Macaca mulatta: one gene and its partners. Each later gene encodes a partner of the first gene's protein in a complex. Links are inferred from orthologs where the notes say so. Each region holds a gene or a part of one and is shown in the gene's direction. Other genes may lie near its edges. The genes, in order: BANP, IRF2BP2 and IRF2BP1.

Region 1 (7,218 bases):
TTTTTTTTTTTTTTTGAGACGGAGTCTCGCTCTGTCGCCCAGGCTGGAGTGCAGTGGCGCGATCTCGGCTCACTGCAAGCTCCGCCTCCCGGGTTCACGCCATTCTCCCGCCTCAGCCTCCGAGTAGCTGGGACTACAGGCGCCCGCCACCACGCCCGGCTAGTTTTTTGTATTTTTAGTAGAGACGGGGTTTCACCATGTTAGCCAGGATGGTCTCGATCTCCTGACCTTGTGATCCACCCGTCTCGGCCTCCCAAAGTGCTGGGATTACAGGCTTGAGCCACCGCGCCCAGCCTATATGCCAATATTGAACAGTGTCTTCCTCTGTTTTAGCTTCCAGAGCAGCAAAATAAAAACTAAATTAAAACCATCAAAAACAAAAAAGTGTAGTAGTTCATGCCTGTAACCCTAACATTTTGGGAGGCTAAGACAGGAGGATCGCTTGAGTCCAGGAGTTCAGCCTGGACAACGTATTGAGACCTCTAACTCGACAAAAAACAAAAAAATTAGGCAATGATGGTGGTACGTGCCTGTAGTCGCGGCTACTCAGGAGGCTCAGATGGGAAGCTCACTTAAGCCCGAGAGGTGGAGGCTGCAGTGAACTATGATTGCACCACCACACTCCAGGCTGGATGACAGAGCAAGATCCTGATGCAAACAAAACAAAACAAAACAAAACAAAACAATCGACAACTGCAGCATAGGCACAATCATAGTTTTGATTGGCTTCATTTCTGATCATGACCTAGTCAGCAGTGGCCTTCAACAAATCTCACTGTAGCTTGTTGGATGGTCACAGATAGATTCACCTTTGCCCACAGGTTCCTTCTCCCGTCCACTCACACCTGTTCATGACGCTGGGCCCAGCATTGCACAAGGCCTGCGGATAGGGAAAAGGCAGCTCCAGACACGGACTTGGGGATGTTCTGAAATAACACGAACAACATCACCCTAAGTTGGTCTGTTTTCGAGCCAGATATTCAGGCATGGATGCTAAGAATTCTTACATGGGCAAGTATTAGTATTTGAATGCAGCTGTGATTGAGGTGGAGGTGGAGACAAAAGGCGTGTCTCCCTAGAACATGTTTTGTCCCCACTGCTGGAGGGAATATTCCGTGGCAGCTCCCGCACGCACCCTTTCCCTCCATGTGAGTGGACACCACACTCTAAGCAAGGTGTTCTGTACTGCAAACTCGGCTTGTGCCTCTCTCCAGCCCTGTGGCCTCGCTGGGCAATTTTTCTAATCTCTTTGGAGCCAATCTTCATGTTGAAAAAGGACAGGTCCCATCTTCAGATCGACACCTGTCCCAGTGCTGCCATTCTGTCAAGGCTCCTCCTTGGAGTGTTTGTAAGTCATTTTTACTGCGAAGTAACCCAGCCACCGGCCTCAGGGGAACCTCCGAGCCTAATTCTAGAGGAGACTAACTCGGTAAGGTTGCCCAAGGTCGCATAGCCCATGACTGCACCGAATCCTGTTATTATTATTGGCAAAAGGGAGCTGGGCAGGAAATTCAAGGTAAAGCATTTTGTTTTTCCCAGTGAAAATAGTTCTCTTGCCCTGTGCTTGGGAGATCAAAGGCATTCTTGCTCATTGCAAATAATTCAGAAAACAGGAGTATAAAGAGGAAAATGAAAGGCAAGGTAATTCTAGATAAGCAGAGGGAGATAACCAGAAATGACATTTCTGGGAATTGCCCTATAGTTTGGGAATTTTTTCCTATGATTACCCACAAATGCACATTTATTCTACATAAACGATAACGTGCGCACATTCACGCCATCACTTTTTTATTTTTTTAGAGACAGAGTCTCGCTCCGTCGCCAGACTGGAGTGCAGGGGCGCGATCTCGGCTCACGGCAACCTCCGACTCCCGGGCTCAAGCGATTCTCCTGCCTCAGCCTCCCGAGTAGTTGGGATTACAAGGTGCGCGCCACCAGGCCAGGCATAATTTTTGTACTTTTAGTAGAGAGGGGGGTTTCGCCATGTTGGCCACGCTGGTCTCGAACCTCCACCTCAGGTGATCCGCCCACCTCGGCCTCCCAGAGGGCTGGGATTACTGGCGTGAGCCACTGTGCCCGGCCGCCATCACTTATTTATATTATGTGTTAGCTGTAGGACATATCTAAGACCATGGTCACTGCTGTGCGTGCTAACTCCCGCGCGCGTGCACTCAGGCCCCTCCGGACAGACGCTGGGGACCCCTGACCACTTATGTCTGGGAAAACGCCACCAAGCGCTCCGGAACCTCAGGGCAGGATCCGCCGCAGCAGCAGGCAGGACCCGCTGGGGGCGCACAGCCCACCTGAGACATTGTAACTACAAGTCCCAGCAACCCTTGGTGCGGGGACAAGACGGACGACCGGAGTCCGGAGACACTACAAGTCCCGGCAGGCATGGCCCAGACGAAGGGACTACGAGTCCCCGAATGCATGGCTCCCCGCTTGCGCAGGGCACCCTGGGAGGTGTAGTCGTTGAGGGAGCTAATGCCTATTCATTCCGTCTCAAAGAAGATGCAAATTCCTCACACCGTCCACTGAGGTGATTTTTCTCAGGCAGGCCACGTGCGTGGGCGAAAAACGGGGGGAAAAAACCCTGGGAAGCCGGTACCATCGCGGAAGAAGGCCGCCTGCGCATGCTCACCAGGAGGCCGAGCGGGAAAAGCGCGCGCAGCTGGCCTCGCTGCCCGCAAGGGGCCTCGCCCCAGCCCCGCCCCCGGCCCCGCGCGCCCGGTGAGCCTGCGCAGAGGGCGGGGGCAGAGCGTCGCGGGGAGGGGCTCGCGGCGCCTGCGCAGAGCGGCGGCTTCTCTCGCGAGGACGGACGCCATTATCGCATCTCCCCGACAAACACCACGAGAATTCCGCAGCCCACACGGTAATTGCAGCTCCCGCAGCCGGTCGCGCCTCCGCCTCCCCCTTCCCGCGGGGCGAGAGCGAGAGCGAGATCTCCCTCCTCCCTCCTCCTCCCGCCCGCCGGGCCGCCCGCGCCGCAGCCCCGCCGCCTCCAACCGCCCGGGCCGGGCGAGCGCCCCCCAGGCCCCGCTCCCCGTCCCCGGCCGCGCCCCGGAAGAGGGGCTCCCGCTTCCTCGCTTCCGCACCCCCGGCCCCGCCGCGCCCCGGCGTCCGTTGAGCCGCGGCTGCCGCAGCCCGGCCCGGGGGCCTCGCGCTCCCGACCTCTGCCCCGGGCCTAGCCCCGCGGGAAGGACCCGGGGCCACGGCGGGGAGACTGGAAGGGCCTAGAACCGCGCCCAGGCTCCTCTGGGGACCGAGTCTCCCAAGGGGTCGCTCCTGCTAGCCAGCCGGGAGCGACAGGCACCGTTTTTGTGCCTCCTCCGTGGCTGTGGACTGGAGCCCCATAGCCCGGGACTCGCACATGCAAGTCTCTGGCGAGGCAGCGGAAGGGACGATCCCGGGGCGACCGCCGACCCCGGCGAGGACCCCAGCCCGTCCCCCTAGGGGCCCCGATGAACGAGGACTTCGGGGTGCCCCCTCCCCAGCACGTTTGTGCGATTTCTGTGATCTAGTCCTTAAGAAAGGTGGCCGTTTTTTTTTTTTTCCCCCTAGGATGCAGAAAGTAGATGACATTCCATCCACACTGTGTGAGCAAATTGGAGAGAGTACCTTGATAGAGGACTGATGTTTTTCACTGATGAGATGGTAGGGGTTGCCTTGCTATTGGAGAAATACATCATCCCTGAAGAACTGTGAGCAAGTGGAGCGAGTGTGGGCTTTGAAGGGTAGCGAGCTTGCACCCTGACCGGGGAGGGCGCGGGTCACGCAGTTGTTGATGTGGAACAGATAATTGCCCTGTTTGGAGTTGCCTGTTCTGCCCAGGAACGTACTCCAGGGCCTGATGGCGATGGCAGAACTATAGTAAATAATAAGAGGAGGCAGTCGTAGGGGCCACTTTTAGCTGGAAGTTCTTGGGGGACAGAAAAATAACTTGGAGTAGTGAGTGGTTCTGAGTAAGCTCAGGAAACAGCAAAGAAAAACTGGATCTGGTCATTTAACACGCAGCTCGCAAATAAATATCCTGTGCTAGAAGAAAACACCAAAACGCGGTAAAATTCTGTGTGTAGGTCCACTTCCCGTGTCTGGCAATTAAAATAAGAATATATTCTTGCGATGTTGGATTCTGTCATCATTGGCTTTAGTATTTTTATTTTTTGGAGATAGGGTTTCACTCTGTCCCCGGGGCTGGAATGCAGTGTGGTGATCTTGGCTCACTGCAGCCTCGGCCTCCCTGGCTCAAGTGATCCTCCCACCGCAGCCTCCCGAGTAGCTGGGACCACAGGCACCACCACCCCTGGCTAATTTTTGTATTTTTGTATTTTAGAGGGGGTTTCGCTTGTTGCCCAGGCTGGGGCTTTAATCTTTTTAAAAAAGAGCATCCATTTGTGATCCACGCTGCTTGGGGGCAGCTCAACATCTCGGGTGCTTCACCATGACCCGGGAGGCAGAGGCTGCCCCCACTTTATAGATGAGGTGGCCAGGCCCGCAGACACTAAGGGACTTGCTCAGATGTACAGAGCCAGGGTTCAAATTCAGTCTATTTGAAGCCTATATATTTAGTATTTTAATTAATATAATGTGTACAATAGGAACATCAGTGAAAGACTTACAATGAAAAGCAGTGGTCCCCTGCCCCACCTCTCAGCCCCATTCTTCAAAGAGGTTTACATCTTGAGTGGTTTCTTTAGGTCATTCTTTATAGCTCTAAGTAAGCTGATCTTTTTCATTTTTTTCTTGAGATAGGATCCCCAGATGTTGGCCAGGCCGTACTTGAACTCCTGAGCTCAAGTGATCCTCAGCTTCCTTAGTAGCCGTTAATACAAGTGTGAGTGACTGCACCTAGTTCTAAGCTGCTACTTGGTTTTACACAGCCTTGACTTTCTGTTACGATGGGGTGATGGAGCCCTTCTGTCATATCCCACCTCTTCTATCCCCTGGACTGTGTGTGTCAGGCCTATGTAAATACTGTTCTCTTCACAAATTGAGTGTTTCCCTTCCTGTACAGCATGTTTTTTTTCTGTTAGTCATGGCTTTTCTCTTGGCACTTTCTGTTCCCATCGACTCCTTGCATTGTTTTAAATGATCTCAAGGATAGTGTCAGGTCCCCTTCCTCCTTCAGCCCCTAACCTTTTTCTCATCTGGATGGGTTATTCTTTAGCCTGCAGACGAGCCCACCTGATACTTCTTGCGGCTGGGTGCGTTCAGAAATGTTTTCATCTCGGCTTTGTTCATTTCCACAGGACGCTCTGGCAGGTGCTCTTCCTCTGTGGAGACCCTTCTCCCTCCCTGAACGCTCTTGGATCCTCTCTTTGGTGTTAATGACATTTTACCGTGTGCTGAGGTGTGTGGATTCCTACTCCGGGGACTCTTTGACTCTGGTGCCTTGTCCTTCAGCTCTGGGGAGTTGCCTTGTTCTGTCTGAGAAGTTCTTCCTCTCCAGCTCTGCTCTTCTGTCTTAGGAGTTCCTGTTTGTGATGGACGTTCTAGATGGACCCCTGGAGTTGCATCTTTATCCTTCCTTCTGTGTCTTGTTTATTCTCATTTCTGGGAGAGGGCTTTCATATGTCTTCACAATCAAATTTTTAATTTCCAAGCATGTATTTGTCTTGTTCCTTTTTCACAGTAGCTTATTGTTTTACAAATGCCTCATCTCCATGACTCTAGGGAAACTAATAAGGATTCTTTCCAGTTCCTCTTTGTTCTGATTTCTTGTTTCCACTAATGTCACTTAAAAAAGAGTGTTGGCTTTTTGCTCTGTATGGCAAGTCCTCCTCAAATACTGATATTTACTGTTGTCTGAGGCAGGAGGAGGCTGGCGGAGAGCCCCGGGTCTGTGGGGTGCTTTTGAAAGAGTCCAGTTTTCCCTCGGGTGATTGGGAGCCTGTACTGTGGGACCTGGAGCGCCAACTTGCAGATACTTTCTCTGGGCTGCTCCGCTTCTTTGGGAGCCCCTTTGCTGGCCGTGGGGGAGTTCGCTCTCCTGTGCGGGACCGACTTGGCAGGTGCAGGTTTGGCCTGTCCGCAGGGCTCTGTGAGGCCTGGAGCGCCACGCCTGTGCCCCCGGTGCTTTCCCTTTACCCTGATTGGGTTCTCTGCATCTGTCAGGAGTGTGTTCTTTCTTGTGGGTTTATAACACTCTATTAAAGATGATGTTAATGGGGTGGGAGGAGGTCACCTGTGTGGCCAGTCACTCCCCTTGAGCAGTGGTTTGAAAGCCCGTTCTATTCACCCCGCCTTCCCGCTGCCTCGTGGCCTTGGTAATTGCCCACAGTCGATGGGATAAGGTGCCAAGCCACTGTTCCACAGCCGCCTGCGAATTGCGGCGTGGGCTGGTGGCTCTGGCCCTGTGGCCTTGGAGGGCTGCCAGCGTACCTGGGCAAGGCCTGGCAGACCCGTGTGGTAGCAGAGACCCTGACTTTGGCTCCTCGCTGGGTCAGTGTGCCAAGCGGGTGGTCTGCCCTGCTGGTTTCCAGGAGGGCCTGCAGTGAAGCAGTGGCGAGCGTACTGGGAGCATGATCTTGCTGCCTGGTAGCTGACTGTCACTGGGAAGTTGTGAGTAGTGAGGTGGGCTCTGTCTTCTGTTTGCCAGAGCCTTGCTAGCAGAGCGGTCCAGGGGCCGGCAGCATCCATGTGTCACTTGGGTATTGGTGAGAAACACAGACTTTTCAGACCCCCCCCCCAGGTTCTCATGCAGAATCAGACTGCAGCTTGGTTAGCTTTTAATTTTCAGGTAGTTTTTGACTTTACAGAAAAGATGGAAAAAATATTTCACTGAGCTTCCCTGTTCTCTTCATCCGCTTCCCCTAATGTTGACATCTTATGGAACCAGGCATCCATATAAATACCAGAAAGTTCACAGCATTATTGCCTAAATGACAGACCTTATTCGAACTTCGGTTTTGCACCAGTGTCCTCTTGCTGTTTTGGGATCCCCTCTAGGACCCCACACTTAATGTCCTCCTGTCTGTGATATTTACATAGTCACAAAGTATCTCCCCCAGGATGTACATCACAAAGGGAGAAATAAAATTGTAGCCTCTTGGTGGAAAAACCCAGCAGATATTGCGTGAAGCAAGTGATCAGGGTAACAGCATCAGTCATAAGATGTTGACACCAAGGACCCAGTGAGACACATCACTTCTCTGGCAGTGTTGCCAGAAATGCAGTCTCATCATGAGAAAATGCTGCACCCAACCCGGGGGATGCTCA
Region 2 (7,335 bases), on another chromosome or scaffold:
ACCCTGCTCCTGTGTGTGGAGGAGGCGGCTGTAACTGCTGCAGCAGCCGCTTTGGACGGGATCCAACTCCAGTCTGTGCCGGGAGGGAACGGTGGGTGGAAGACAAAAACAAAGCTATGTTTACTTAGCATACATCGATAAAGCTGCTTCAGAGCTACATGAAAGGCCAGGCAGCATGAAAGACTTCTGATACAATATAAGGAATTGCTGCCCTGGATCCAGCCTTAACCCCCTTGATTCCAGATCGAGCCCAGAACTAAAATAGCCTTTCCATTTTCCATCGGGCATTTCATTAGGGAAGTTACAACAACTCAGTTTCGACATGAAACTGGCAGTGTAAAGTAAGAAGGAAATGTTCTTCCTTTGGAGAAGAAAAGCTCTGTTCTACAAAGATCTTAGTATCTCTCAAGGCAGAATTTGTATCTCTAATTCTATTTTGGGATGGAGTGGCAGGCTCTCCCTTGAGGCCATTACAGTACCAGCTTGCAGAGAAATGAGTATAATTAGGCCACAGCTCTAATGGTGGGTTGTGTTTTCTTTTAATATGTTTCAGTCAGTGCTTAGTGGGGCCGTCTCTTGGGGGCGTTGAGTTGGTTCATTTCTCTGCAGCACAAGGACTGGACTTCATCCCCTTTGGGCAGTGACGCAGTGGGTGAAGCCATGTGCTGGAATGAGTGTCACAGGGTCTCTGAGGAGGATGACCAAAGGGACAGGTCTTCAAAGTGGTGTGCAACAGCAGGGCCTGGGAGTGACCAAACCCGCTGGCACCAGCTACTCCCGGGAAGGATCTGGGCAGGCCCCGTTCTCCCAGCTTGGAGAGGGTGAGGCAGGATTGCAATTGCAGGGCAAGATCCAGGAACAGATTGAGAGACCTTTAAAGCAAGCGCACCTTCTATGGAAATCCCCAAAAGGCATTCAAGGTTAGCCTGTAAAAACATTTAGGTCTGACATTACGTTTTCTGTGCCATTTTCGAACAGGTTTTTTCATGTGTTTTAAGCAGCTCCCTCCACTGTTTCTCTAAGGGTGTTTTTCCTCTTCCTTGTGGTTAATCCTTTGAAGCAACCTGGTATTTTCAATAGCAACGACTAGAGAGAAACGTCAGCAGGATTTTTTTTTTTCTCTCCACCTACCAATCCAGTTGTAGGAAAGATAATATAATTAGTACCCTGTTCTTCCCACACTTAACCAGCTCATTCCAGTCTCAAGGGAGAGTTGTGGGCCTGTGTTCCCAACAAAAGCAGCCCCAGAGGCCGCCCTTAAAGAGCTGAAGTGTAAAAGTCCCAATTGAAGAGCGACTAAGCCTACGTGTATTAGGGAGACTAACGACCAGCCCAAAGTGATTTACCATAACACACACCAGCTCCTCCTCCCGATAAAAGTGCGAAACTCAAGCATTCAATTCAGTCTGGGCTGAGTCTGAGGCTGCCAACGGTGGCAGAGCTGAAGGCCGCGCGGCTGGGCTGGGCTTACCCCAGCCTGGGTGGCATATAGGGCGCAAGTCTGCCCCCATCGGCGGCCCGCCCTGCGCGACGGCGAGCCAGCCAGCCGGTCGCCCCCACGGCCAGCGGGGACCCCGCGGAGGCGAGCAGGACTTCCCCCCACGACTCGCGCCCGCGCCTCCCGCCACCTCGAGTCCAAGTTCGGGCCCGGGGCGGCGCCTGGACGCCCAGACTCGCCGAAGGGGGTGGGGCCTGCGCTGTGACGCGGTCGCGCTGGCCGTACACCCCGGATCCCTGGAATGTGCATTCGTTCCACGAGGCCCTAGTGCCAGCGGCGCCGAGGCACGTCTGCGCGGAGCGTGCGCACACGCGGCGGCGGCCGCCCACGGTCCCGAGTCCACGTCACGCGCCCGCCGCGCAGACCTACATAAGGCGGCCGGGGCAACTGGCGCGGCGAGGCCCTAGCTGAACAGGGCGGGCTGGACGGGGCTAAGAGCAGCACTTGGTGTTCGCGAGCTGCTAATCCGAACCGCGCTCCCTCCCCTCCAGAGGGCTCCGTGGAAAACGCGCGAGCCAGCTGGCGGCGTGTGCACGTGGTGCTGGGCTTGGGAACATCCAGATTCTCCCTAGTTAGTAAAAGGGGCAGGCGGCGGGTATGTCCTTCCCAAGACAAATGCAAATGCAAAGCACCAGTGACGGATTTCATGCTCTTGTGTCCGACATTGAGCTTTCAAGTATAACTCCTAAAAAACCAGAACTGTGAACCACGCTAGACCTAAAATCCCCATTCTCAGGAGACTGACGGAAACCAAGTGACAAAGTGGCCTTGCATAAAAGAAAAAGAAATGGCTTTTAGCACGATTTGGTCCAGAGGCACACCAGGGGAAAACATCCTGAGGGTGGTCGAGACAGCCGGGTGGGGCGTGAAGTGAGGGAAAGTGGAGGAAAAGCACACGACCACTTTGCGCCGTGTTCCGAGGGGACACCAGCGCTGCGCTGCCGCGCTGCCCCGCGAGCGGGCGGGCGCCACAGAGCCGGCTCTCCCGACAGCGCTCCTTCGGCGCGCAGGGGGGAGGGGAGCGCGCGCGCGGGAGGGCGGGCACGCGCCCGAGGGGAGGGGGCCCGCGCAGGCGCTGTGCGAGACTGTCGAAGAATCAAGTCTGTAGAAGTGGAGCGGCCGCGGCGGCAGCAGCAGCAGCGACGGTGGCGGCGGCAGAGCTGAGGCGGGCTGGCCGCTGACGCTGGCGCTGGAGAGCGGCGACGCCAGGAGCTGTGAGAGAGCGGCGGAGCGACCCGGGGCCTGCGCCGCACCCGAGCTCCACGCCGCCCAGCCGCCGCCGCCCCGGCGCGGCATGCCCCGCCGCTCGGGCTGAGCCTGCCCCGGCGGCCGCCCCCCGCCCCCTGCCCCCCCGGCCTCCCCGCCCCCCGCCCCGCACACTGTGCCGGCCGCCGCCGCGACCTGCTGCGCTCCCCCGCGCCCGCGCGGCCCGTCTTCGCCCCGGTCTGGAGGCCCGCCGCGGCTCCAGCCGAGCCCCCGCCGCCGCGCCCGCCGCACCGCCGCACCGCGCCGCCCGCCCGCGCCCGCGCCGGCCGGGGGGAACTGCTGCCGCGGCTGCAGCCCCTCGCCTCGCGCCCGCCGCCCCTCGTGCACCGGGGGCGCTGCGCGGGCGCCGAGCCTTCGCGGGCTTTGCCGCCGCCGCCGCCGCCTTTGCGGCCGCCGCCGCCGCTGGTGGGGGAGACGCGGGGTTGGGGGGGGAGGAGGGCGCGCGTGGTGCCGGTGGGGGGCGGCGGCGGCGCCCCCTCCTCCTCCTCCTCCGGCGCCGCGGGCTCCTCGGACATGGCCGCGGCGGTGGCGGTGGCGGCCGCGTCCCGGCGGCAGTCGTGCTACCTGTGTGATCTGCCCCGCATGCCCTGGGCCATGATCTGGGACTTCACCGAACCTGTGTGCCGCGGCTGCGTCAACTACGAGGGCGCCGACCGCGTCGAGTTCGTCATCGAGACAGCGCGGCAGCTCAAGCGGGCGCACGGCTGCTTCCCGGAGGGTCGCTCCCCGCCCGGCGCCGCGGCCCCGGCCGCCGCCAAGCCGCCGCCGCTCTCGGCCAAGGACATCCTCTTGCAGCAGCAGCAGCAGCTCGGCCACGGCGGCCCCGAGGCGGCCCCGCGCGCGCCGCAGGCCCTGGAGCGCTACCCCCTGGCGGCCGCGGCCGAGCGGCCCCCGCGCCTCGGCTCTGACTTCGGCGGCAGTCGTCCGGCCGCGAGCCTGGCCCAGCCGCCGACGCCGCAGCCGCCGCCCGTGAACGGCATCTTGGTGCCCAACGGCTTCTCCAAGCTAGAGGAGCCTCCCGAGTTGAATCGCCAGAGCCCGAACCCGCGGCGCGGCCACGCGGTGCCGCCCACCCTGGTGCCGCTCATGAACGGCTCGGCCACGCCGCTGCCCACCGCGCTCGGCCTCGGCGGCCGCGCTGCCGCCTCCTTAGCCGCGGTGTCCGGAACCGCGGCCGCCAGCCTGGGCTCCGCGCAGCCCACCGACCTGGGCGCCCACAAGCGGCCGGCATCCGTGTCGAGCAGCGCGGCCGTGGAGCACGAGCAGCGCGAGGCAGCAGCCAAGGAGAAGCAACCGCCGCCGCCTGCGCACCGGGGCCCGGCGGACAGCCTGTCCACCGCGGCCGGGGCCGCCGAGCTGAGCGCGGAAGGTGCGGGCAAGAGCCGCGGGTCTGGAGAGCAGGACTGGGTCAACAGGCCCAAGACCGTGCGCGACACGCTGCTGGCGCTGCACCAGCACGGCCACTCGGGGCCCTTCGAGAGCAAGTTTAAGAAGGAGCCGGCCCTGACTGCAGGCAGGTTGTTGGGTTTCGAGGCCAACGGGGCCAACGGGTCTAAAGCAGGTAGGGGCGGCTGTGAAGTGAGGGGTTCTAGGGGAGAAAAGGGGACGGAGAGCAGAGGAGGGGTGGTTCTTTCGATTCACCATTTTACCCCAGCTCAGAAACAACAAATACCCCACTTCCTGATCTGCCTGAGGCGGAACCAGTGCTTAGTGGCAACGTGTTCATGTGCTGAAGCAGCATAACAGAGATGAGTCAGACTGGGCTGATACGCTCTGACACGGGGTTTTCCTTTCCCAGCACATTCTTGGATGGGAGCATGAGGGCACTAGTCACCTTTTAACCTATTGCGGGACATTAGCAGTCACATGCCCAGTGCAAACTAGGGTACTTTTGTGCATGTGTAAAAACAGGCAGTTACAAGCCTGCCATTTTCAGTGGCTCCGTTTTATTTTCAGTCTACTGCCTCAGAACCCCACACGCCTAAATGTTTCAAGTTGCGTGTATGTGCACCTGAAACTCGTAGGAGGGTTTTCCGTCTGTGCTTTTAGAGAGGAGGAATTCTGTAACGAGTTTTGTTTCGGGTTAGGAAGGGAAGGATCCCTTCCAGTGCACCGCCATTTATGTTTCCTTTTTCCTTTTATTTCTTTGTGTTTCCAGTTGCAAGAACAGCAAGGAAAAGGAAGCCCTCTCCAGAACCAGAAGGTGAAGTCGGGCCCCCTAAGATCAATGGAGAGGCCCAGCCGTGGCTGTCCACATCCACAGAAGGGCTCAAGATCCCCATGACTCCTACATCCTCTTTTGTGTCTCCGCCACCACCCACTGCCTCACCTCATTCCAACCGGACCACACCGCCTGAAGCGGCCCAGAATGGCCAGTCCCCCATGGCAGCCCTGATCTTAGTAGCAGACAATGCAGGGGGCAGTCATGCCTCAAAAGATGCCAACCAGGTTCACTCCACTACCAGGAGGAATAGCAACAGTCCGCCCTCTCCGTCCTCTATGAACCAAAGAAGGCTGGGCCCCAGAGAGGTGGGGGGCCAGGGAGCAGGCAACACAGGAGGACTGGAGCCAGTGCACCCTGCCAGCCTCCCGGACTCCTCTCTGGCAGCCAGTGCCCCGCTGTGCTGCACCCTCTGCCACGAGCGGCTGGAGGACACCCATTTTGTGCAGTGCCCGTCCGTCCCTTCGCACAAGTTCTGCTTCCCTTGCTCCAGACAAAGCATCAAACAGCAGGGAGCTAGTGGAGAGGTCTATTGTCCCAGTGGGGAAAAATGCCCTCTTGTGGGCTCCAATGTCCCCTGGGCCTTTATGCAAGGGGAAATTGCAACCATCCTTGCTGGAGATGTGAAAGTGAAAAAAGAGAGAGACTCGTGACTTTCCGGTTTCAGAAAAACCCAATGATTACCCTTAATTAAAACTGCTTGAATTGTATATATATATCTCCATATATATATATATCCAAGACAAGGGAAATGTAGACTTCATAAACATGGCTGTATAATTTTGATTTTTTTTTGAATACATTGTGTTTCTATATTTTTTTTTGACGACAAAAGGTATGTACTTATAAAGGCATTTTTTTCTTTTGTTAACGTTATTAGCATATCTTTGTGCTTTATTATCCTGGTGACAGTTACCGTTCTATGTAGGCTGTGACTTGCGCTGCTTTTTTAGAGCACTTGGCAAATCAGAAATGCTTCTAGCTGTATTTGTATGCACTTATTTTAAAAAGAAAAAAAAAGCCAAATACATTTTCTGACATTGTAAGATTGCCTTACTGTCTGTCATTCCTTATTGCTGGCCCCTTTCTCAGGCCGGAGGCCAAGTGGTGGAGAAGGAAAGGAAATGAGTGAACGGGCATGTTGTCAAGTGGGCATGCCACTGGGAAATACCAGTTTACCCTGAAGCATTGTCCTCAGAGGAGTAGGAAAGTAGATTTTGAATCTCTGTTTTGTTCAAAAGTTCAGTTCCTGAGATAACTGATGACTGAGAGTGCTGCTGGGAAATTTTCAGGATTGTGTGGTCTTTTGGGGTTTTTTTTTTTTTTTTTTTTTTTAAAGACAAAGTTGACCGCTGTTCACTGTCCACGTGATCAGTTGTAAGATTACAATGCTGCATGCTAGTTGGTTACATAAGACACAATTCCAGTGATGGAAGGCGGTTATAATGGATGGTGGTGTGTACAAGATGGCACTGCCATCTTTGAGCAGCGCCCAGCTCTGCAGCGCCACTTCATCTTTTTAAACACCCTAGAGGTCTGTTTGTTGTTGCTGTTGTCCTTTATTTTGAAAGAGTTGCAAGAGAAGTTACAGTCCAGGTGAACTTGGAGATTGTGGGATTGGTTTTGTTTCTGTTTTGTTTATCATTTACCTGTAGTGCTATTGCTGTTGATACTATCACCTATACCCTGTTTCTAGTGAGTGCTGAATACAGTATGGTACAATGACAGTAACAGCCGCGTGGTGCTGCCAGGACTGCCCTTGGGCATATCAGTGACAGCCCAAATGTGGGTGGAGGAAACCTGTAATTTCCTTCTTACATGTGTTTGAAATACCAAGTGAATAATACTGTTCTGGAAAAAAATGATAAACTAGTGGAAATTAAAGAAATTAAGGGTTTTATATAATAGGCCCCACCTCTCAAAATATTTTTAGAAGTCTTTTTGTAAACTAATTTCTTTTGATCACTATTTTGCATCAGTAAAATGATTTTTTTAAAACCAATAAATCATCAATTATTAGAAATAGTTGTCTCACAGTGATACTGGTTTTTCTTTTGTGCTGTTATGATTTAACATTGACAGGAACACTTTTAAATCCTTATGTTCAGGTGTTTGTAACTTGGCCTTATAATTAGGCTGAATTATGGCTTCAAGGTCTAGAATTTATGTGTATGATTCACAGCCTAGCTTCTATTTTCATTTGAAAATACAGATTTTTACCAACTTTGGATTCTTTTTTAGCTATATGTTTGTCTTTCCTTTTTAAATTGTTCAAAATATTTTTTAATGGTCAAGTTACTAACACTTGAAAATCAGATACTGCACCAAATACAGTATTTTTTCATAGTGT
Region 3 (7,317 bases), on another chromosome or scaffold:
CCCCCAGGCTGGAGTACAGTGGTGTGAACCCATCTCCTGGGTTCATGGAATTCTCCTGCCTCAGCCTCCTGAGTAGCTGGGATTACAGGTGTGCGCCACCACACCTGGCTAATTTTTGTATTTTTTAGTAGAGATGGGGTTTTACCATGTTGGCCAGGCTGGTCTCAAACCCCTGACCTCAAGTGATAGGCCTCCCAAAGTGCCGGGATTATAGGAGTGAGCCATTGCCACCGCCCGGCCTAATTTTTTAATTTTTAGTAGAGACAAGGTTTCACCACATTGGCCAGTCTGGTCTCGAACTTTTGACCTCAAGTGATCCGCCCTCCTCGGCCTCCCAAAGTGCTGGGATTATAGGCATGAGCCACCATGCCTGGCCAGGAAAGCTTTTCCAGACACACACTCCCCACAGCAGTCATCACAAATTTTAGTTCATCATTTGAGTAAATTTAGTATCTGCCTCCATCACCAGGCTGGGGCTTCTCAGGGGCAAGGCTTAAGCCTGTCTCAGCTGCTATGTCCCCAGCATTGCCCACCACGGAAGAGGGGCTGAATATTTGAATAACTGTCCAGCTTAAAAACAACTTCCACTTGTGGCACTTTTCTGTGCCAAGCACCAAGCTAAGCATTTATATGCGTGTTTGCATTCAATCTGAAGGTACCCAAATAAAAACAGACTGGAGGGGGTCTCCATTTTTTCCAAGAAGTTTAGAGACTTGCCCAAGGCCACAGCTGGTCAGAGGCCAGTCCAGTCCACCTGAAGGCTGAATCTGGCCAGAAGTCTTAACTCCCTTTAGAGTTTCGTAAATAATAGCCCAAAGGCAATTTTAAGTGACATATGAATGTCTTCTTGAATTAGTCGATAGTTTTCACTGATTTTTTTTAAGCTAACCAGTAGATGAAACCCATGATTGTGAACGTATTACCTAGGATGAGGTAAAAATAGATAGATCTTTTTATTTCTATTTATTTTTTTGAGACAGGGTCTTGCTGTGTTGCCCAGGCTGGAGTGCAGTGACGCAATCATGGTTCACTGCAGCCTGTTACCTCCAGACTCAAGCAATCCTCTCACCTCAGCCTAATAAATCTTTTTTTAAGGGAGAAAAGTGTTCAAATACAGGTAGTAGACAAAATTGTGAAACCATTTTGAAATTGTGAAGTCTGGGTAACAGAATCAGAGTTGATGCGGTTCCAGTGGGACGGGAGAAGGGACAAGCAGCCCCTCACTAGACTGAAAACCAGGGCCAACTGGCACATCATTCAAGTATCTTTGAGCACCTAACATGGACCCAGGCCTAGAGAAAGGGGCTGTTGTGGGTTAGAACCTGGAGACCCGCCTCCACCGTTCCCCAAAGACAGCCCCGTCGTGTTCCCAATGCCTGGGAAAGAAGACAGGAGGGTCCTCAAAGCCTGATTGGGCCTTGCAGGTAGTGAGCGCTCAGGGTTGGGGAAAGGTAGTCTGGTGTTCGCCCTTCCCCAGCAACTCCTTCCTCTTGCCCGTCACTTCTTAACCCCTTACTCTTCCCTCAAATTGGGGAGCAACAGAGGATAAGGGTCCCCCAAACGCCATGCTCCGAATGCACGTAAAGAACCCCCAGAAAGGTTGGGGGGGGCGCGGGTAAAGCAGCGTGAATCTGAAAGGCCTACCCCAACCTCCCAGGCGGCGGAAGCACGTCACTTTGTCCGCGTCCGCAGTGCATTTTGGGAATTGTAGTGAAGCGGGTGGAGGACGCCGAGCAGCCGACGGTGTAACCCTTTAGAGACCAGAGCGCGCGGGCAGAGCTGGGACAGGGTTAGAGGGCGGTCAGTCGCCCCCCTTCTTTAGCAGAGAAAACTGAGGCAAGGCTCTGGCTCCGGAGCCCTTAGTCCTCTCCCTTCGCTGGCTGTGGCGGGCCCCAGAGGCATACATCTAGGATTCCGGGGGAGGACGAAGTGCCAAGTGGCCACCCCCACCCCCACCTAGTTGCCAGTTTCCCTTCCCTGCTCTGAAGCCAATCAGGGCTTCTCCGCCCCGCCCCAGAAGCTGCTACCTTCCTAATCCGTCATTGGCCCACCTTTGCTGGGCGGGGAAACTGAGGTTCAGAGAGGGCAAGACATTTTGCCTAAAGCTGCACAACAAATCGGAGCAGAAGTTGGAATCCTGGAAGCCTGTCCACCCACCCCCAAAATTTCTGAATCCGGAGTAGCTCTGATCATTCGTATTGCAAACTCGCCTCCCACCTTTGTGTCCCAGCATCTTGCGGCGCGCCGAACTCCGGCCCCGCGGAGACGGTTATAAGTGCTGCGCGCGGAGAGGCGACGACCCCCCCAGCCCGCCTCTGCCCGCCGTTCCCTTTAAGAGCCGGCCCCGGCGGGACTACGTTTCCCAGAAGGCTTTGCTGGCGCGTTATGTAACTTTCCCTGCGAAGCGGCCTCTGGGGCAGAAGAAGGAGGTGGAGGCGGCGGCGGCCGTTGCAGCGGCGGCGGCGAGAGCGGCGGGAGCCCGAGGCGGCTGCGCTCGCGGCCCATCGTGGGGCCCGAGCTGTGCGCCTCGGCTCGGAGCCCGGACCGGGCGGGGGCGCCGACGTGCCTCAGCCTGCCTTTGCGAGGGAGGCGGGAGTGAGCAGAAAGGCTTAGGGCCCAGGGGGCGGGGAAGGGGGGCCGGGCCTGGATCCGGCGGGGAGGCCGAGCCGGAGGCCGGACCGTGGCTCGCGCTGTCCCGGGGACGCGGATCGAACGTCGGCGGCGCGGATCGCACGTCGGCGGCCGGTGGAACGCGGGAGCCGGGCGGCGCGCGGACTGGGGCCATGGCGTCTGTGCAGGCGTCCCGCCGCCAGTGGTGCTACCTGTGCGACCTGCCCAAGATGCCGTGGGCCATGGTGTGGGACTTCAGCGAGGCCGTGTGCCGCGGCTGCGTGAACTTCGAGGGCGCGGACCGCATCGAACTGCTCATCGATGCCGCCCGCCAGCTCAAGCGCAGCCACGTGCTCCCCGAGGGCCGCTCCCCCGGGCCCCCGGCCCTTAAGCACCCGGCCACCAAGGACCTGGCTGCGGCCGCCGCACAGGGGCCCCAGCTGCCGCCCCCGCAGGCCCAGCCCCAGCCGTCAGGGACCGGCGGCGGCGTCTCAGGCCAGGACCGCTATGACAGGGCCACATCATCGGGCCGCCTCCCCCTGCCCTCGCCCGCCCTGGAGTACACTCTGGGGTCCCGCCTGGCCAATGGGCTGGGCCGTGAGGAGGCCGTGGCTGAGGGGGCGCGAAGGGCCTTGCTTGGCTCCATGCCTGGCTTGATGCCCCCTGGGCTGCTGGCAGCTGCAGTGTCTGGCCTGGGAAGCCGAGGCCTGACGCTGGCACCCGGCTTGAGTCCTGCCCGTCCCCTCTTCGGCTCCGATTTCGAGAAAGAGAAGCAGCAGAGGAATGCGGACTGTCTGGCAGAACTGAACGAGGCCATGCGGGGCCGGGCAGAGGAATGGCACGGGCGCCCCAAAGCAGTGCGGGAACAGCTACTGGCGCTGTCCGCCTGCGCCCCGTTCAATGTGCGCTTCAAGAAGGATCACGGGCTGGTGGGGCGAGTGTTCGCCTTCGATGCTGCTGCCCGTCCTCCAGGATACGAATTCGAGCTGAAGCTCTTCACCGAATACCCCTGTGGTTCCGGCAATGTGTATGCCGGCGTCCTGGCGGTGGCTCGCCAGATGTTCCACGATGCTCTGCGGGAGCCGGGCAAGGCACTGGCTTCTTCGGGCTTCAAGTACCTCGAATATGAACGCCGGCATGGCTCAGGAGAATGGCGGCAGCTGGGCGAGCTGCTTACCGACGGCGTCCGCAGCTTTCGCGAGCCAGCTCCCGCGGAGGCCCTGCCCCAGCAGTACCCAGAGCCTGCCCCTGCGGCTCTCTGTGGCCCACCACCGCGAGCCCCATCCCGGAACCTGGCGCCCACGCCGCGCCGTCGCAAGGCATCCCCCGAGCCGGAGGGCGAGGCGACTGGGAAGATGACCACCGAGGAGCAGCAACAACGGCACTGGGTGGCACCTGGAGGTCCGTACTCCGCTGAGACCCCTGGTGTGCCCTCGCCCATTGCCGCCCTGAAGAATGTGGCCGAAGCCCTGGGCCACTCACCCAAGGACCCTGGCGGAGGTGGAGGGCCTGTGCGTCCAGGGGGCGCCAGCCCTGCAGCCTCCTCCACTGCCCAGCCGCCAACCCAGCATCGCCTTGTGGCCCGCAACGGTGAAGCAGAAGTCAGTCCCACAGCGGGGGCCGAAGCTGTCAGCGGGGGTGGCGGCGGCACTGGGGCGACCCCTGGGGCTCCCCTGTGCTGTACCCTGTGCAGGGAGCGGCTAGAAGACACCCACTTCGTCCAGTGCCCCTCGGTGCCCGGACACAAGTTCTGCTTTCCCTGCTCCCGGGAGTTCATCAAGGCGCAGGGCCCGGCCGGGGAGGTATACTGCCCGAGCGGAGACAAGTGCCCGCTGGTCGGCTCCTCCGTGCCCTGGGCCTTCATGCAGGGCGAAATCGCCACCATCCTTGCTGGAGACATCAAGGTTAAGAAAGAACGGGACCCCTAGGCTACCACTGCCTCCAGGCTACTGCCCTCTGCCCTTTTGCCATCCACCGCTGACGCGGATAAATTATTCCCTCCCCGACCCAGCCCAGTGCCACCCCTATCTGTGTACATACTCCCTTCCTCCACCCAGATGGGTCCCCTGGGGTAGATGCATTGTGGGTGGGGGGAGAAAGCTTGTGGCTCCTGTCCGAGGGGATATTTGGGGTCCCTTGGCCCCTCCAGTTTCCCTCTGTCCTTGGCTTGGCTTTGCTGCTGCTTGTAGTTGGGGAAGAGGTGCCCCCCTCCTCCTTGAGAAGGGACCTCCTGAAAATTCGCTCTTTATAAACGAGGCAAAAGCATTTTATTGCTCCCCTCTCCCGCCCCCTTCTGCTCCTTCAATAAACCGAAAGATGGGTTGGTTTTTTTTTTTCTCTCTTCTTGGTCCCTTGGTTGTGTGAGATGCTGCGCCCCCTTTGGGACTGAACTAGTCCTGCGAGGGCGAAGACGTTGCGCGGTAGCCTCCAGGTGGCGCCCTGCACCCAGGCCGTCCCGCCGGCCGACCTTCTGCAAGTGCGACCCACTGCTCACGTTTTAGCCATCGGCCCGTTCTCCAGATGAAAGAACTGAGGCTCAGAGAGGGGATGGCTCCTGTAGGGGAACCACAGACAGTCTCGGGAGTAGATTACCCTTCTGTAGCTGGCCCATTCTCTATCTCTACCTGGAAGGTGGAGGACTCAGCGCCTACGTGGGGAGGGGAAAGAGGCAGAGGGAGGTTTCCTAGAAGAAACGGGCAGGGGGTTCTTGCTGAGTAGAAGGGAGAATTTAGGGTAGACTGCTAGAGGGACTACCTGAGGAAAGAGGAAATTTACCTCCACGGGGTAAACTAACAGGATGCCTAGAAACAACTTGGCTACTTCTCGCCTCTGGTGGTGCCCCAGAGGCGGACGTTTGGGAAGCCACAACTGGACTCCTCGCCCTCGTGTCGGGAGACAAGCCCCTTCGGCGGCCACCCTAGAGAGCAGAGCGAAAGGCACTCGCCCCGCGGCTGCCTCTGATGTGCGCGGCCTTGTCCCGCACCTGTCCGGGTGGCTGATCATTAACCAGGACTTCCTGCTCGCTGGCGTCACGGGGCGGGGCCTGAGCGGGCTGCGGCAAAGCAGGGGTTAAGGGGAGGGGGCGGCCCCAAGAGCCCAGCCCCCACCCCTGCGGCCTCCCCAGCCAAGCCGAGGTGGAGAGATTCCGGGAAGGGGGAATGCGGGGCTCAAAGGCCCGCGGATGGACCGAAATAGGGAATGATTGTCCTACCACCACCCAGCACTGTCAGACAGCTCTGGGACCCGAGGTTGTCCCCAGATCCCCTCGGGAACCCAGGGTTCCCATCACCTAAATCTGGAGGCCTCTAAAGTCCTGCCCCATCAGCCCGGTTAGGCAGGGATCCCACCCATACTTGCATACCTACATGTCCTAACTCCCAGATATTAGGGATCCCTAGGGCGTCAACTTTCGCATCTGGAGGACCCTCTGTTCTTGGGCTAAGGGGTCCCATCCTTCCTCACCCCCCAGCCGTCAGCTCTCAGGTGTTCTGCCACCCCTGGCACTGCCAGCCTGGGCTCAGGGCAGGGCTGGGAAAACCACCCCTGATTAAATACACCAGGTGATAAGCCCAGGGCAAGAGAGACCTGGATGGAGCTCTGTGCCGGGGCTCCCCTCCCAGGCAAGCCTCTGGCTTCCCCTGACCAGCTCTGCAGACCCAAGTGCTGGGTATCTCACCCATCCCCAAATCTTTAGTGCTGGAGGCCTCTAGACACCTGGCTCCTATGCTGCAGTTGGAGCTAAATTGCTGTGGAGGACACCTGGTCCTTTAAGAACAGCTGGTAAGTGGGTGGGGGGCAGGGGAGTCACCCCCAGCCTGGCTGGTGTGTATTCTAGATAGAGGTTGAGTTAACCATTAACAGAGCAGAAGGCCTGACCTGTGTGGGTGTGGGGGCTGGATCAGCCCCCCTTCCCCCAGTGCCAGGGTGGGGCCAGGGTGGAGGGGTTCTGGATTTATTTGGGAATCAGGGAGCAGGTGCAGAGACTTCGCAACAAACGGGAAACACAGAGAGACACTCAGGGAATGATGGGAGACAACAGAGGTGGGGAGGGAGAGATGCGGAGACCAGCTCACTGAAAGAGACAAGGAGACACAGGAGCCGGAGACCCAGCGAGACAGGGAGAGACTCGAGAGAACCTCAGAGATGAGGCAGACACAGAGAAGGAGAGACAGAAAAGAAAAGGAAATGGACGATATTCTGATAGGTTGAGCCAGACTGAGATGACAGATGAGATGCCAACAACAGAGACGCAAAAGAGGGGAGACTGAGATGCAGAGAGAAGGCAATAAAGAAGAGATGAGAAAAAAAAAGGAGAGATGAGAAAGACTGAAATCAGGAAAAGGCACAGGTGTGAACTAGAGTGATGACATCCTCAAACTCAAAAGTTCTGTGAGACAGGCAGGGAACGGGAGGAAGTGCAAGATTCTATCTGTTTGGGTCATTTGATCCCCAGTCAAGGCACCTCCTCCAGGAAGCCCTCCCTGACCCCCAGGCTGCATCAGGTGCCATTTCTGCACCCCACATATCCCTCTGTGCTCCCCCAGGCCCAGCCCTGTCCATTCTGGAGTGTTGCTGTCTGGCAAGCAGACTGTGAGCCCCAGAAGGGTAAGGCCAGGGCTGTCTTGATCACCACTGCATCCCCAGCATCACCCAGCACAGGGTCAGCTTAAGGGATGGATAGATTAATGGGCTGCTTCTCTTCCTCAA

Evidence for each region.
Region 2: BANP (region 1) and IRF2BP2 share a complex: the UniProt entries of both Homo sapiens proteins name them as parts of the corepressor complex. The link is inferred for Macaca mulatta from reciprocal best matches to the Homo sapiens genes BANP and IRF2BP2.
Region 3: BANP (region 1) and IRF2BP1 share a complex: the UniProt entries of both Homo sapiens proteins name them as parts of the corepressor complex. The link is inferred for Macaca mulatta from reciprocal best matches to the Homo sapiens genes BANP and IRF2BP1.

The regions. Positions count from the first base shown.
Region 1 is NC_133425.1:83,339,055-83,346,272, forward strand, and holds the start of BANP (protein BANP), read left to right. Parts: upstream 1-2,790; 5' UTR 2,791-2,872; intron 2,873-3,561; 5' UTR 3,562-3,575; coding exon of another isoform or gene 3,576-3,596; 5' UTR 3,597-3,633; coding exon 3,634-3,654; exon of another isoform or gene 3,655-3,733; intron 3,734-4,752; exon of another isoform or gene 4,753-4,834; intron 4,835-7,218. UniProt on the Homo sapiens protein: Controls V(D)J recombination during T-cell development by repressing T-cell receptor (TCR) beta enhancer function. Binds to scaffold/matrix attachment region beta (S/MARbeta), an ATC-rich DNA sequence located upstream of the TCR beta enhancer.
Region 2 is NC_133406.1:14,467,676-14,475,010, forward strand, and holds the start of IRF2BP2 (interferon regulatory factor 2-binding protein 2), read left to right. Parts: upstream 1-2,585; 5' UTR 2,586-3,277; coding exon 3,278-4,325; intron 4,326-4,922; coding exon 4,923-5,638; 3' UTR 5,639-7,335. UniProt on the Homo sapiens protein: Acts as a transcriptional corepressor in a IRF2-dependent manner; this repression is not mediated by histone deacetylase activities. Represses the NFAT1-dependent transactivation of NFAT-responsive promoters.
Region 3 is NC_133424.1:58,436,216-58,443,532, reverse strand, and holds IRF2BP1 (interferon regulatory factor 2-binding protein 1), read left to right. Parts: upstream 1-2,393; 5' UTR 2,394-2,783; coding exon 2,784-4,538; 3' UTR 4,539-4,947; downstream 4,948-7,317. UniProt on the Homo sapiens protein: Acts as a transcriptional corepressor in a IRF2-dependent manner; this repression is not mediated by histone deacetylase activities. May act as an E3 ligase towards JDP2, enhancing its polyubiquitination. Represses ATF2-dependent transcriptional activation.